4 linked regions of the Drosophila melanogaster genome follow. The protein of the gene in region 2 purifies or fractionates together with the protein of the main gene of each other region. This does not show direct contact. Each region holds a gene or a part of one and is shown on either strand. Other genes may lie near its edges.

The links.
Region 1: the proteins of Arl2 (region 2) and Tbcc purify together in Drosophila melanogaster (affinity purification with western blotting, with the first as the bait; one study listed by BioGRID). This does not show direct contact.
Region 3: the proteins of Arl2 (region 2) and Tbce purify together in Drosophila melanogaster (affinity purification with western blotting, with the first as the bait; one study listed by BioGRID). This does not show direct contact.
Region 4: the proteins of Arl2 (region 2) and betaTub97EF purify together in Drosophila melanogaster (affinity purification with mass spectrometry, with the first as the bait; one large-scale study listed by BioGRID). This does not show direct contact.

The regions. Positions count from the first base shown.
Region 1 is NT_033779.5:4,185,703-4,189,567, forward strand, and holds Tbcc (Tubulin-binding cofactor C), read right to left. Parts: upstream 2,092-3,865; 5' UTR 1,865-2,091; intron 1,798-1,864; 5' UTR 1,782-1,797; coding exon 714-1,781; 3' UTR 548-713; downstream 1-547. Other genes in the region: lectin-24Db, read left to right, coding at 2,446-3,525.
Region 2 is NT_033777.3:8,339,334-8,342,423, forward strand, and holds Arl2 (ADP ribosylation factor-like 2), read left to right. Parts: upstream 1-1,766; 5' UTR 1,767-1,845; coding exon 1,846-1,910; intron 1,911-1,969; coding exon 1,970-2,324; intron 2,325-2,327; exon of another isoform or gene 2,328-2,382; coding exon 2,383-2,517; 3' UTR 2,518-2,537; downstream 2,538-3,090. Other genes in the region: COX7A (cytochrome c oxidase subunit 7A), read right to left, coding at 1,187-1,438, 1,491-1,535; PNKP (polynucleotide kinase 3'-phosphatase), read right to left, coding at 2,538-3,090. UniProt on the Drosophila melanogaster protein: GTP-binding protein involved in protein trafficking; may modulate vesicle budding and uncoating within the Golgi apparatus.
Region 3 is NT_033778.4:6,040,731-6,045,509, reverse strand, and holds Tbce (Tubulin-binding cofactor E), read right to left. Parts: upstream 2,979-4,779; 5' UTR 2,861-2,978; intron 2,856-2,860; exon of another isoform or gene 2,802-2,855; 5' UTR 2,583-2,801; coding exon 2,487-2,582; intron 2,418-2,486; coding exon 1,945-2,417; intron 1,896-1,944; coding exon 1,472-1,895; intron 1,415-1,471; coding exon 1,132-1,414; intron 1,077-1,131; coding exon 781-1,076; 3' UTR 546-780; downstream 1-545. UniProt on the Drosophila melanogaster protein: Tubulin-folding protein which is required for the development of the neuronal microtubule network. Essential for the development and function of neuromuscular synapses.
Region 4 is NT_033777.3:27,985,340-27,990,005, forward strand, and holds the start of betaTub97EF (beta-Tubulin at 97EF), read right to left. Parts: upstream 3,046-4,666; 5' UTR 2,817-3,045; coding exon 2,760-2,816; intron 1-2,759. Other genes in the region: CG4815 (uncharacterized protein), read right to left, coding at 4,427-4,666.

The sequences.
Region 1 (3,865 bases), on a different chromosome or scaffold from region 2:
GACGAAGAACAGATACTCTAACTTAAAATTGCGTATAAGTTTTGAAGTTGACAGTTCGAAAAAACTAAAATAAACAAAAATAAATTATTAATATCAATTTAGTTTTGCATCAAATCAGAAAACGCAATGAAAAGCATATGTACATACGAATTTGCTTTTCTAAAGTATTTCTTTACTTTTGCATTTTCAGAACAAACCTGATGTGTAAGTGGAGTGACCCGATCAATGTGCAGGCAATGGCTTGAGAGGTTCTGTTGTGGCCACATGAAACTTGCATGAGGCGCCGTCTTCCGCCCATTCCGGAATGTGTGTGGCAGCCACAGCCATTTTGGCCAACCACTGATTATGCCACATCCGAATTGGACATGTCAAATTAGCCACGACATAAACAAGAACAGATACATATGTACATACGCATGTACATATGTACATATGTTATCGAAGAAGTCAAACTTTAACTCACCCACTCCAAAATGATTACTGCTGAGATACTGAAAAAAATTTTGACAATGATTTGGAGTCCCTTAATATACAAGAGACTATTTTTGTTTTTTACATAATGGTTATTTAATCAACACGCTTATAGCTAATTACACAGATCGAGGATTAGATTTTGGGCCTGTAACTGAGGGCCGCAGCAGCATTTCCCAGAGCAGCCAACCGAGGATGATGCCGTAGGCTAGCCAACCGAGGAGCAGCCGCCGATGCCGCCACTAAATGATGGATATGTCCTTGACATCCTGCTTAAGTTCGCTGTTATGGTTATTGGCAATAAAGTCGCGCCTTAAGGCGTTCCAATTCGGATCGGGATAATCCTTGAGGAGGCTCCAGTTCGGCGAGGGGACATCCGGCGAAAGCCAGTTAAAATCGGCCACATCCGTATAGTTGTTCTGTGCCTTATTCAGTCCAGAAGCTAGGTAGTCGGCCTCCAGTTTGGAATAATCGTAGTTGTACTCTCCGATCTCAATACTCTTGCAATCCTCGATTATTGCGCGGCAGGTGACATGCATGTATATGCGAATGGACCGGGAGGAGTGCAACCTCAACTGCTGGCAGGCAATGGAGAGGGTGCAATCCTCGAGATTCTCGGCGAAGAAGGAGCGTGCGATGGGGCCGCATAGCAGCGTGCATTTGGAGGCCCTGGAAACCTGCACAGAACCGGGATGACCCTGCAGTTCAACCAAACAGTGGTTCAGTTTCGATATTGTGATGTCCTGGCCATTGACTTTAGCGGAATCCAGGACTATATGCTCGTTCGTTCGATTGGCAATCGTCCACGTGAAATTGGAGCCTAGTTTTTCTGGGACTTTACTGAGTTTCGCGTCGACTATATCCTTATTTGGAGGGACTTTTGGCTTTGTGACGGTCTTTTTGCCACTGAAACCAAACTTTTTCTTGGGCAACAGGCGCTGGCGGGTTTCATCACTGACGGCGGTCAGGGTGTTAAGGATATTCTGACAGGATTTGATCTTGAAGTCGGGCAGAAACATGGTGGATGCGGTGAGATATCGCTGCAGATCCTGGATCTCCACAGTTATGTCGGCGAAGTTTCTGGCCAAATCGGTTGGCTGGCCATCGCCGCACTGCACATCCTTTAATCGCTGCTCTATATCCATGGTTTTTTGGCTGAAAGTCTGGTAGAAGTAGTCAACGCCCTCGTTCTGCACTGTTTCCTTGGAACGCAGCTCCGATTTCACATCCAAATAGTTTTGCCTGTCCTTGTTTCTTTTGTTCAAACGCTCGAGGATTTGATCCTTGCGATTTTCCGCGTCGCCTTCCATGATTTTCGGTATCAATCTATAACGAAATATCTGGTTAAAAATCAATTTCTAGGGCATAACTTCTATTTGGCCGTATGAATCACAGTTGTTGTTGTTTTTCTTGCCAAGTTGCGCAGCTGCAGAGAAATGCATGGAAAACGCGGCTTTCTTACTGGGCACGTATCATATGCGCAGTGATTGTAGTTCAAATTAAGAGAAATTATATTATTTTTATTCTGTTTATTAACCTTTTGTTTAATTTTCTTATTATTTTGTGCAGCTGCTCACAATAACAAATGTTGCCTAATCGTTGTGAGTGTCAACAGTTATGTACTAAAAAAGACCAAACAACATTACCGTTTAATGCGCACGGTGAATGGCAACGGCGGCAAGAAGAAGAATACGCGCCAGGGAAATTTTAGATTTGAATTTTTTATAGGAGAAATGCGATAATATTAATTATGAACTCTTGTAAGCAGCGTAAGAAACTTAATACAATCAAACATCTCGCCGAACACAAAGCACATTGAATGTCGCCCACAGAAGCGATAAATTCTTGATAAATGCAAAAACGGAATTAAATTTAAATTATGGGTCTTATCTTTTTTGCTCTGTAGAACCTTTTACATAAAATGCGGATCAGTACGTTTTATTTCTGCGCTTGCAGTGGTTGTGCGATATCAAAATGTTTAGGCTTGAAAAATGTATTGTGTACTTACTTGTTGCCTGCAATCTGGTTGAATCACGAGCGGAATCCACAGAAAATTCCCGATCCGTGTGCCTTCTGAAAGATCCGCCAAATCAGTGCGGAGAATTCTGCCTTTCGGTGCTCCAACCGCTATTGGATCACATTGTAAAGCACCAGGAGCAATGGAACACCTCCGAGGCCCTCTGGCTGAACGAAACCCAGGGCAAATTGGACAGGATACAGACCCAGCTGGCGGCACAAGCGCTATCCTTGGAGGAATCAGCGCAGAAGGTTCCAGGAGACATCAAGGATAGACTGGACCGAATGGAACATCTTCAGACGACACTGCAGGAGTCTCTAAAGAAAATGCCAGCTGAACTCGATGCGAGGCTAATGAAAATGGAAAATCAGCAAAAGACATTGGGCGACCAGTTGGAAAATCAAATCAATCTCACCAAGGAATCTCAGCAGGATCAGTTGGAAGCCCTAAAGAACGCCATGCCGATAAATTTCGAAATGCGGCTGGCTCAGATTGAAGAACAGCAGAAGTTACTTCAGGAAACTCTAAAGAAGATCCCAGAGGATTTTGAACGGAAATTGCAAAAGTTGGAGCAGAATCAGAAGGATGAGCTGACCAAGCTGGGAGCTCAGCAGTCCGCCAACCAAGTCACACTCAAGGAAATTTATACCAAGGTCTTCTGGCCGAAATTTGAGCGAATCGGCTCTAGACTCTTCTACATAAATCACAAGGATGCCTACGACTGGCAATCCGCTGTAGACTTCTGTCGTGACATGGGTGGCTATATAGCCGCCATCAAGGATCAAGAGGAGCTGGACGCCATTTCAGCGAGACTGGACGACAAGAGCTACTGGCTGGGCATAAACGACTTGCAAAGCAGTAACACCTACGTATCCGTGGCATCCGGCAGGGAAGTTGAATTCCTCAATTGGAATGCGGGCGAACCCAATCACGGCAATGAAGATGAGAACTGTGTGGAGCTGATTAGGAGCAAAATGAACGATGATCCGTGCCACAGAAAGAAGCATGTTATTTGTCAAACCGACAAAGAAGTTTAAATGAAAACACTGTCTTTGCATATTCGAAATAAATAAAAGATACAGATACTAAAAACTATTCCCAAACTGTCGTAGAAAGTTGATTTCTCTTTGCGGCGCTCTTTTACCTTTTAGTTAAATACATAATCGCAGTATGTATGTAGTTATATATAGATAGAGTAGTTATAGTTGTGTGCTTGATGTGTTGTGCCCTACTGCGTGCAAATGTCCTAAAAAGCATTTGTACTTCTAACATTCATCCTTCGTTCGCAACATTTCAACACTTAAGTACTAGAAAAATATTAAAGACATATTTATTCCGTTCCGATATTTGGTTGTAACTTAGTAACTCGATTTGGGT
Region 2 (3,090 bases):
AACTATAAGGATAAGTTACTTACTAAGTTCACTATACGAGTTTTCTATAAGGGAATATACTCTTAGACTTGAGAACATGCAACTGTTTGCGGAAACTATCTGTTAAATATTATTTCTCGTTTAATAACTAACATATTTCTTAAATTCCACAACAGTTTCGTGACGCACTGCCCGTTGTGAGTGTGTGGAAAATGCCAGGGAAAATGCATAAAGCGGCGGATGTTTTCATAATTTTTAATGCTTTAGTTTTATTTAAGTGTTTATGGAGAATAACTAATGAAAAACGTCATGAATTGCATATTCCGCCGCACTCGGGTATTAATAAACGGGCGGCGTGCATGGGCCTGTGCTTGTGTTAAAGCGCAACATGATTCGCTCGATTTAAAATGCATTTCCATGCCAATGGCAACGCGCCGAGTTGCCGCCCTTTGATTTATAAAACAGGCCGTTTCCTTAGCCGATTCCCCAGTCTCGACCGCATCCCAGATCTCTGCTCCATGTCGCCGCTGTTTGTTTACTTAATGTCAATGCAATTAAGGGGAAATACTTTTGGGCAAATATCTCGTTGCCAGCGACCGTGCCTAAAACAAATAAGCAGTCTCGTTACTTTACAGCCAGATCTCTTATATTTCCACGCTTTAAATGCTCTTGCGAATGTTCAGTTTACACATCAAATCTTAGCTATTCTAACACAAAACAATAAGCCAGGTTGTAGGTTGGGGTGTTTCATGTTGTCCAGGTATCCAGGGCAAGGCTCTGCAAGATAAAGGGATTAAGGATTGCGATTAGTTACAAACTTTTGGGATAGATGTTGTATCTGAATGGCAGATCTCTTAGGCAAGTGGTTCTCATGTTACACATATCTATTATTGTACAAATAAAATTCCTAATTAAACTATTATTGTATAAGACGGAGACTTTAAGATGCTAGTTTGCAAACAAATATTATAACTTAAGGTTTAAACATAGTCTATAAATTTATTAGACAAATACAGGGAATAGTTTACGGAATGTTGTCCTTGGATAATGTCATATTTTATGTCAAGAACTTAGCAACCTAGCATAAACACAAAATTCTAAAAAATGGAACTTACACAATCAAAACATTGAAATATAAGGCGACTACGCTGAATCACGGATCTTGCGCGGGGTTTAATGGCTTAGCTTAGGGTTCGGTACTGCGACTTCACTCCTTCTTGGGAACACTCAGCTCGTAGAAAAGCTTGCCCATGCCACCGATGCCGACGAGGGCGAGAGCGACGGTGACGCGGTAGAGCACGTTGTCCACGACGGATCCCTTGAGGAAGACGGGCTTGCCGTCCTTCTTCTGAAAGTGCTCCTGCACCTTGCGGATCTCGAAGTATCCCTTCTCGATCTGGTCCTTGGGCACGGCGGCGGACCGGCGGCCAGCGGTGGTAGCGAAGCTACGGACAACAGCCTGCCGAGGAGTACAAAATGTGCGGTTAGTTCTGAGGCTCCAGGGAACTTACGTAATTGGATGTAGGTAATGGGATCTCCAGTGTTTCGGAACTCATGCTGTTCCTCCAGAAAGGTGTGTAGAGTAATGTAAATTACTTACTCTCGACAGGTTCATCATTTTGCTGGGGTTTATTTTTAAGATTTAGCAAAAAGTGAGCAGTTTTCCTGGGCGAAAAATATCGGTCTGAAATATGACAGCTGACAACTGGAGATATATCGATGTATTATCGATACATCGATGTCGATATTTCCAGCAGTTTGGCATTCACCTGGAAATTCCTATTTAGTTTAATAAACAATTTAAGCAGCTGCCAATAAAAACATTTGTTTATAATTCCATAGCGTTACTAAAATACAGACGTTGTCATGGGCTTCCTCACAGTATTAAAAAAGATGCGACAGAAGGAAAGGGAAATGCGCATATTACTGCTGTGAGTTCCATGGAATTATAAAAAAATAAATAGTGATTCATGTATCGACTTTCTTATAGAGGTCTGGATAATGCCGGCAAGACGACAATCCTGAAGCGCTTTAATGGCGAACCCATAGACACCATCTCACCCACACTGGGATTCAATATTAAAACCTTGGAGCACAACGGCTACACCCTGAATATGTGGGATGTCGGTGGCCAGAAGTCTCTGCGATCCTACTGGAGAAACTACTTCGAGTCCACTGATGGTCTGGTCTGGGTGGTGGATAGCGCTGACAGGATGCGCCTAGAGTCCTGCGGCCAGGAGCTGCAAGTTCTGCTCCAGGAAGAGCGATTAGCTGGAGCCACACTCCTAGTTCTCTGCAACAAACAGGATCTACCGGGAGCCCTCTCATCCAACGAAATTAAAGAGGTTCACTCTCATTGATTTTTTATTGAAACAACACATTTAATATACTTTATATTTAAAGATACTACACCTAGAGGATATCACCACACATCATTGGCTGGTGGCCGGAGTTAGTGCAGTGACTGGCGAGAAACTGCTTAGCTCCATGGACTGGTTGATCGCCGATATAGCTAAGCGTATATTCACTTTGGATTAAATACAATTTATTTTACTTCCTTATTTCTCGACCAAGTACATTTTGTATAGCTTTTCCTGCTTTTCGTCCGCAAAATTGGGCTTAAAGTTCACCTTGTGTATGGATATAAATCCTTCGTCTAGGGCGGGTTCCTGGTACTTTTTCTTCATCATGTTAAATACCATGTCCTTGATCTTGGTGCGCGCGGAGTCTGATAGCTCTCGGAAAGCTATATTGTGCTTCACTTGGGCGACGGGCACATTCATCACAAGGCAGCGGCATGGAATCATCTTTTCGCTGGCCAACTGCAAGAATTTTTTTCGAGAAGCTGCATCCACATTGGTGTTATCCACCACACATGATTGGCCCGAGTCCAGGAACCGTTTACAGGCAGTCAGGCAGTTTTGAGTGCTACCCAATGTATCTGCATTGACGATTTTGTAGCCCCGCGGTTGAAAAAAGCTGGAACAAAAGTGGCTCTTTCCGGATCCTGGCAGACCCACCATGATGACCATTTCGCAGGGGTGGTCATCGAGGGTCAAGTCATCCGGATCAAGCAGAGATACTTGGTCCTGAACGCTAGTGGGTTCAAAG
Region 3 (4,779 bases), on a different chromosome or scaffold from region 2:
GTCCGACTCTATTAATGATAATGCCAGGCGACAGTTGCTGGAGCCGAATTATGCAAATTTTAGCGATTTATTACATTAGGGAAAATATTTTTGGAAACTGAGAATTGCTGTTGAATTTACATTCTTCATAAATTATTGCTGATTATAGAATCCAGAGGAAAGTAATAAACATCAGAGAAAACTAGCTACCTGTTGCTCAACTAGTAGGAGCAACTGTTCGACAACAAGGTTGCGCTTCTCTACAATTATAGTTACCTTTTACTATACGAGTAAGGAAGTTATCGGACTGTTGAGGTCGCTAAAGAAAAATGTCCCACATTATTAGCATGGCTTCATAAATTGAAAAGATAACGTTTCTGCGCCCGCCGCTTTTAAGATATTAAAATATATATGTTCTCGACAAGGATCAGTAGCTTCGCTTGTCGAACTTGCCATGGCCGTCGGCCGGTATTTTTGTTGATTTCCAATCCAATACACATTTACTTCAACTTTAATACAGCTGATAACATCGTTATGTCCCACAATAATAGCAAAAAAGCTTTTTTAATTATCTGGTTAAATAACGTGTTTTCTTTTTTGAAAAGCAAAACAGTATAAATATCTGAGTGGAATTGCTTAGTGAAATGTTCAACTTATTAGTACCTTAACATAACATTTGCACTTTAAAACAGAGGGAGACAGAAGTAAAATCGAACAAGAATTTTTGATTTTCATTTGTCTAAAACTGTAATACATCTAAATACGGAGAATGGTGCAAAGTCCGTGCTATTATACTGGCCGCTATTGAACCAAAACTGTATCATGCTCCTGTACAGAATAAAAGTCCAGTGTTTTAGCATTGTTATCCAATGGTACCACAAGATCCGGATGCAACGCATCAACGTAGCAAAGCTGCGGGACGTCACCGCTTAACCGGAATCGCTTCATAACCAATCCCTGCAGCGTCTGCACAGTAATCATTCGCGGGACTTTCTTCTCCCAGGTTTCGCCCGTCAGCTGATGTCTTATGGAAACATTAATCAAATTCGACTGCTTCGCTTGACTACGCGGTACAAAGTCTGCCGGGGAACCGTACTCTGTAAACATATATATTAAATAATTTTGGAATGTCCAAGGCAGATAGTAGCTTACTTTTAACCAGCAGGGGGTAGGTGCGATGTCTTCGGCAAAACTCCCGTAAGGAATCTGTCCCCCCTTGCGTCGCCTGCATCCAATCTAGAGCATACTTTTTCCAAATATCGTACTCGGCTCCACGTCTCTGTTCCGCTGTCACCTCGGCTTTATTAATGAACTGCAGGCTGGCTATGCTAGCTACAGCTTTGGAGAACATTTCATCAAAGTTTGACTTTAAGTGCGGAGTCTTACTCAGGCGTTTCAGCTGTGGCAGCTTGTCCAGCTCGTTAAACGCATCAGCCTGCGAGGATAACATTATGACAGTAAATTTTTTAGTGCCAAAAAAACGCTGCCCTACCTCATTCCAAATGGGATTGTGAAGCAGGTTCAGCTGCTCCAGCGAGACAAAAATATTAAGCTTTTCTTGTGAATCACAGTCGGGAAGTTTTATCTCCTCGATACCATTCTCCATGATATTCAGTAAGCGCAAAGTCGTGAGGTTGCCCAACTTTGTCACCTGGTCAAAATCCATAATGTTCGTGCGGTGTAAGTCGAGTTCATGTAGCTGCTTAAATATCTTTGTTCGATCGACTTCTGCTAGCTGGCCGAGTGAATTCTCCTGTAAGCCCAGTGACAAAATATTTGGCCAGAGAAGCGCTGTGTGCATTACATCCTTCCAGTCGGAAAAGCCACAACTGCGAAGGTTGATGCGTTTGAGCTGCCGAAATGAGGGCTCAAGCTCAGTGATTTGGGATGACGTGGGCAGGACCAATCGGTTGGAGCTAAAAGGTTTGGCAATTAAAGTGGCACATTTTACTTATTTTTACTTACCTCAGGTTCAGGTTGGTTAAGGAGGGTAGCTGTTGCGCTATGCTGGCCACGATCTCCCAATTCCAGATTAAGGTATGGCTTACGTTCAACGTTGTGAGGTGTGTCAACTCCTTCAGGTAACCGGCAGCGTTTACCGGCGTCTGGTCTACACTCACCTCCTCCAGTTGCTCGAACTTGCTTTGCTTGCGAGCGATCTTGTCCATGCCCACGACTTCAAAAAGCGACGCCTGCAGGCTGGCCTGAGCTTCCCGGATAAGAGACTCGTCGACGTTGCTCGAGTCGTAGTTTAGGTACCGCTCCCGAGCAGCGTCCTCCAGGGTGGCACACGGCCCTACCTTTCCCGGTCGGATGAAGCTGCCTCCCGTGGGTGTCTGCGTCTGAAAGTAGCGCTTGCCGTCCACGATGCCGTTGTGTTTGCCACGCAGTCCGTCGTCCCATTCTATTCCCAGCCAGCTACCCATATGGCCGCTCACCTAAAAATACGGATAGCAGGTTGGGATTAAGTCTTATGCCTGCGGAAGCCAAACCAGCCAACGGCTCACCTCTCCCACATAACGCACTGTGCCGTAGTTGTCCCCAATTTTGATGCGGGTTCCTAGGGGATAAAAAAGCTGCACCTCATCGATAATTCCCACCATCGCTTTGGCTCTTGTTTGTAGTTTCCTCGGCGCCCACACAAGTATACACGGCTGTTACACACTCGTTCACACCTTTGTCTGCTTATTCGCAGCTGCTCCCAGAATGTGTTCAGATATAGCTGTAAACGATTTCTCCTGGATTTACATCAACATTACAGCTTTGATGAAGAGGAAATAAAGCTTTGCGTAGCTCCTGAAGCCTAAATTCTGAGTCACAAACTATTATTTATATTTAGTGTTTAGTCAAATGTGGCTGTAAGCAGATATCAATGAAATACCTATTCATTACGCGGACTGGTCACACTTCGAGGGGCGTTAAATGAGCAAAACGTAAGGATTCGTTACGTCCAACGTAGGGTAACAACTTTTTTTTTAAAAAATGATACCTTAAATTGCTTCCTGGTTTTTTTTACTTTTCCAATGCCATCTCAGTCAATCAGACGATTATATCAAGTTCGATCTACGTTCTTGTTAAAGGTATGTAATATTAGCCATTAATAACAATTAAATATGTCAAAGTCGCTGATAAGTCCTATTTCATGAACCGAAACTGTTTTGTGTCACATTCTAAATGACTTTTTTGAAAAATACAAAAGATTGAAATCTAGCTAAATGATATTTGCTACAGAGAATTTCAGCAAGACTTTATGAATAAAACATTATTGAACAGCTTTGCGCGCAAGTGAGTTCGCAGCGATTGATTGAGGAATTGCGAATTTTTTGTATCTTGGGGCCTTTAATATTAACATGTTTCTTCATTGTTTTGACAGATCTATTTATATACGACTGTTTAAAAGCTACATGAAAATATATATAAAATAGGAAGCCAAAATCAATACCCGATTCATAGATGTTCTAAAATGCGAGTTTCATAAAAAGTCTTGTAATTTATAAACTATTTATGAGATTATTATTTATTTGGGATTTTCAAGGAGATTGTATTTTCTACATGTAGTGCAGTAACTTTCGTGGTAATGCATACATCGATAGTCATTCTGATAGTGCGCCATTTTCAAATTCAAATGTTGTACTAAGCTAACAGCTTGTTAATGTGTTTACCACTAATGCCCCTTCGTAGCTACTTATTTTAGTAAATATTTTATCAAATTGAGTTCGAGATATTCTCTAATTTTAATAATTTTAGAAAAAAAAAATACATAATTTCATTAGCAACCCGCCGTATTTTAATTGTAATGTTAATTTGGATTCTTTGATTTTGAGATAATTTAAATTCGGTGTTTTCAAGTGCGGTGTTTAAGATCTGAAATATGGAGCCATGAAAGACATTTTTAAGCAAGCGGACAGTATATCCCCATATATATATGTATTGTTTTTGTCGACTTCCTAGAGTGTCCTGCAAATGTTTATTATGCACTTGAGCACTTTGCAGCAGAATTATATTTGATCAGTGTCGTTAATTTTTCGCAATCATATTTACATTCATTTGCTCCAGTAAATTTTACTATTAGATTGTTATTAAATTAATTCTAACTCATTCCCAATGATAATCTAAAAATATAATCCTATTCGGTTTAATTTGCGGCCACCAAAAAAGTGGTGGATAATGTAAAACCAATGTATGGCCGGTGCGCAAGTAAATAAAAACAAGAGAGATCGCTATAGTCGAGTTCGTTGACTATCAGATACTCCAGCTAGTGGAATTACTAACGAGAAATTGAAACATTTTTTGGCATATCGATAGAAATTGAAAAACAAATTTTTAAGTGTGGGTGTGACAGTTTTTCGCAGGTTGTGGGCGTGGCTACATCAGTACCTGCGTTTCAGCATGCTTATTCTTAACGTTCTAGCTTGTTTAGTTCCTGAGATCTCGACGTTCATCGGGACATGTCCGTCCGTCCGGCCAAATCGACTTGGCTAGTGATCCTGAAGGAAAATACTTTATAAGGTCGAAAACGCATCATTCTATCATTTACATTCTATCTATCATTACATTCTATTTTATCATTGAAAACTGAGGTGCATTTTTATGGAGAATTTTATATTACTGATGCGAGTCAATATCCAGCCAGTTTAAAATTGTTCAAATCTACATTTTTGGTCCCTTTCTGTAGTTTTGCAATGCTGCTGAATGGCTACGCCAATTACTGTTAATTGCAGTTGGGCTTGCATTCTTGTAGTGCACGGTAATATCATTCGTATATACTGAAAAAGAGTGGATTGTAGTGAGCTAATTTTT
Region 4 (4,666 bases), about 20 Mb from region 2:
GATAATTCAATTTTGTGCATTATTTTGGCGCTGCTCGATGATGCCCTGCCATTATGGGCCAAACAAACGTATCCTGGGGCAGACTATATGGGTGTGCCACACTGCATGCCACACTGGCTAAAAGGAGCCGTTGCAGCCTGGCTTATTCCACTCTTTAATTTTATTGTCTGTTCTTGCTTGACTTTCTCCGCTTTCCCCTTTTGCTCCCATTTTCTACGTTCTGCTCGTCTATAAATTTCTCCGCCATGGTGGCACAACGCTTTTCCTTCGGCTTTATGCCGTGCCCGTAAATAGATTTTCCTTGTTATTGTTCACAAAATGATTTAGGGAAAATTAGGTTTATGTAAATAATGAAGAAAAAGAAAAACGAACTCTAGCTGCAGGCCAAAATATCCTTGGATAGATGCCTTTGCCTCGCTCGATACATACATACATACATATGTGATCAATTTCGTGGTGTTGGCAGAGGAAGGCCGGAAGACGTTTTCGACGGCATTTTGCCATATTTAATCGAAGCCAAGAGAATGGCTTAAATTGCTGTCTGCCTTAAAATCGAATTGAACTTAACGTGATTCAATGAAAACATTATGTTTACAAAACATGCGTACGCTGCCGGGATTTCAATTGTTAAGCTCTGTTTTTATAATTACAATCCATTCTGTTTGCAGCCCGTTCATGTGTGAATAAGCTCTGCTCTTAATGTGTAATCAATCTGTTAAGTTTTTTTTTTTTATTTGCTTATTGGCCTTTATCAGCGGAGCAATTAGTTTTGAAAATTTATTTAAAAATCACATTCACCATTTACGCCATTCACCATTGTGCAAACTATTTTGCCACGTAGGCAGTTTTGCACATTTATTATTTGTTTATTCTAGGCTGCAACAATATTTCATACTGACAGCCAATTAATCAGAAAAGGACATTCAATTAAGGCACAAAATCGGGCAGTGTGCAAAAAAAAAAAAAAAAAAAAAAAACAACACAAGAGCATGAATAGGACATGCAACAAAATATGTTCGCCATTATTATATTCAAATTTAATGCACCAACAAACAGGCTTTATGCCATCTATAAAAATTCGATAAGCGCAAATTGCATAAATAATCGTATTTATTTTTTAACTGCACAATAGCTACACATAACAATGGCCGCAAAATATGGATGTAATAATGCTCTGATTCGGGGGCGTACAAAATCGGATGTTGGGCTTGGCTTATCCCGGAAAAGTGCGTTCTAATTAACTGCAAAAGGCAGTGGTGAAAACACGCAAAAAAGTACTTTAAAATATGTGGAAATGTGTTTGCATAAAACTCAAGAGGAAAAGCGCGCAATGCGAGCGCAAAGAGAAACGGTCAGAGAAAACTGCTCTGGGAAATGCCGGGAAAAAGACAAAAACATATAAAAAAAATAAGCATTATAAAAACAAAAACTGTGTCAAACGTCAACGACTTTTTGTAGCTGGATTTTCATGACGCAGCAAATTGTGCGAGTTAATGTTAATGCGCTGAATTAGCTTAGAATGGGCGCTGTTTTCATTTCCACTCCTCTAATTGCCCGCAAACATGCTGCCGCTTTTCTACTCAAAATACCAGAACACACTATGTAATTGCTATTTTCGGCGCAACCCATATCAGTTCTTACTTTTCGGGTATTTATGTTTAAAGTTGTGTAAACAAGCCCACTGATTAGAGGCCGCCGATAGTGAAAGCAGCGCACACATAAGCCCGCCACTTTGTCACAGTCAGCCATGAATCAGATACATATATCGGTTCAAGATACAGATACATTATTTACAAGCCCCTCTGTCGTAATTAGAAGTACCCACGAAACCTTCGACGAGTTCTTTATGACAGTAAGATCAGCCAACTGTGCGAGGGCAAACATCATAAAAGCCTGTGAAAAGTACTAGTTTACAGAACCAGTTAGTTGTGTTAATTGTCCAAAAGACGGAAGTTTCTGAGAAACCTTCGAGCCAGTTTCAAAATGCTACTAACAGGGCACTAAGCTGCCGCATTTTACTCTGAGTTCCCGCCAAAAATACTTGGTTCACAGATCGGATTTCTTGAAACGAGAAACCTCCAGGTACACTGAAAAAAAAATATCAACTTCTATTCTATAATAACAAATGAATAAAAAGGATCTGTAATTCAATTTTAAATCATAATTGTGTTTAAATGGAAACTACTTTATAACGATTAAATAATCATATAAAGTTTATTTATCTTTTTAAAGGTACTACTTTTTTTCTTGCTGTGCAGATTTGCATAGCCGGCTGATCACAAGCTCTCAACTGAGCGGCGATCTAATTGTTTACACCTGACTGAGGTGATTTTGCTTAGTTTGCGAGCGGATTTCTGGGTTTAATTCACTGCGATATGCTGCGAGTCCAAGGTAATTTAAATGCGATACTTTAAGGTTGCTGATATTCGTATCTTGCGAGCGATAAGATAAGTGCCAAGTACGTTAGGTTTCTTCAATGTTTTGCAGTTTTATAGTTTCCCGAACTGGCAAAATAATCTATGCCACCCCCCACCAACCCCCCACCCATTTTAATTGCTGGCCACTAAAAACAAAACGTGAAAAGCCAAGAGAGAGAGAGAGAGAGAGAAAGTCGCAGTGAGAGAGGCAAAGAGCGCTCTTTCTTCATTTCCCCCTGTTTTATAATTAAACATGTGAGGTTAGGATAGTAGCGAAAAGTAGCTATAAAATAGAGCAAAGGTCTGTGATGCGAACACCGATGGAATATCAATTATACGCACCTTCGAACCGATCTGATTGCCGCACTGGCCCGCCTGCAGATGCACAATTTCCCTCATTTCGCAAATGAACTAGTAACTTTTGGCAGCCAAACTTAACTCAATTGAACACACTGACGCACACACGCACTATCAGCAATTATCAGCCACTATATCAATCTGAATCTGAATCCGAATCTGAGTCACAATCGGTCACGCATTCGGTTGAATCCGGTGAAGAGTCGGAGGAGAGCTTTTCGTGAGCAGAACGATCGACACGCGTTCGCTTTGAGAATCCAACGTGAACTGAATGAATGGCGAGAAACCGAACGCGACCCGCTGGGGAATTTGTGCTCTACGGTTAAAGGGGGCCGCATTAGTTTTCCACTCGGAAAAATATTTATAAAAAAATGCCTTTACAAATTGGCATGATAAGAAATGATAAAATTATGGTTTGCAATCTTAGATTAATATATTGTAGATAGTTTTGGTGATGTATTGAATTTAGTATAACAATTTTTCATATCAAACAGATGATCAGAGATCAGAGTTCTAAAAATACAAAAGTTTTTACAAAGAAACTTTTGTTACTCTTAAAAATTATAAATATTATAGTTGTAATAACGTGCTGCTGTTATCTTGGGCACAGCTGTATATACATTTTTAGAGTCCCTATAAAACAGGTTTATTTTATTAAACAGGTTATTATTTTTTTTTTACAGGTGGAACATTTCATTAATACATGACCCAAATTACATCAATACTTTAGATAAAGATTATTAATTAGAACGTTGGTTATGTTTAAAACAATGCCTCTTAAATGATGAACAATAAAAACAAATTTCATTCGAAAACCTATGAATACCCGAACCATTTATTCATGCTAAGTTCCTCTTCATTAGTGAGTATATTTATTTGAATCACTATCCAAAATTGCGGCAATATCTTCCCTGATTTCTCGAAGTGCAGAGAGCGCGAAGAGCAGAGGTCGTAAATACATTAGTTTAAGTGAAACTGTGGGACAAAACAAGATATTTTCCATAGCAGCGTGTTTGTCTTCCCGCTTTTCCCGACTTTTCCCCTTTATCGTATGATTTTTACCGGCTAGGCGCCAACAATGCAATTCTTTCTCTCCCATCTTACGCTTCGCTGAGCTGGTGAGAATTCTTAGGGAAAAGATAGAGAGAGGGGAGAGAAAGAAGAGAGTCGAAGAATGAGGTAACAGCACGTGAGTCTAAGGTGCAAAGAGCGCCACATTCTACATTCTACAACTGCATTCTTCAATCAGATTTGTAGAATTGTACATGGACGTACAAGATTGAAATGTAGCCAAATGTAAAAATGTAATTGAAATATATAAAGTTAGTTGTTTGAGTATTGAACATATATTTTATTATATGCTATTTAATCAGTATATTTTTGTTTTCCAATTACAACCTTGTAAATCATAGAATCGTAGCTTGAACAAACCAAACTTATCTACATGAATAATTGGAAGCGGTTTAGTTAGTCATTTTAGACATCTAGGTTATCAGCTTCATGAGATTGACAATAAAAAACGCTGCTGAAATGGAATAACATGAAGTCTGTCGAGTCACACACACTTAATACCAGTTTAAAATTTAATTTATGACTAAGTTGTAAACTTAGATAGACAGTATTTTTATTTTGTGATACTCAAATAAATTTCTTCAAAAGCCCATTCTGTTAATAGTTCTTTTAATAAACTTGGCGTAGTATCGCACACCCATGTATACGTCTGGCTTTTCGTTGTTGCCGCATTTGAAAGTCCACGTGTTGATGCCACAAACTTGCCGCCCCAACAGAAGTGGTCCACCGGAGTCGCCGAAGCAGAGAGTCTTGTTGTTGTAGGCACCGGCACAGATGATATTGGGTGGCATCTTGCGATCCAGCTGCTTCTCGCAATCTCG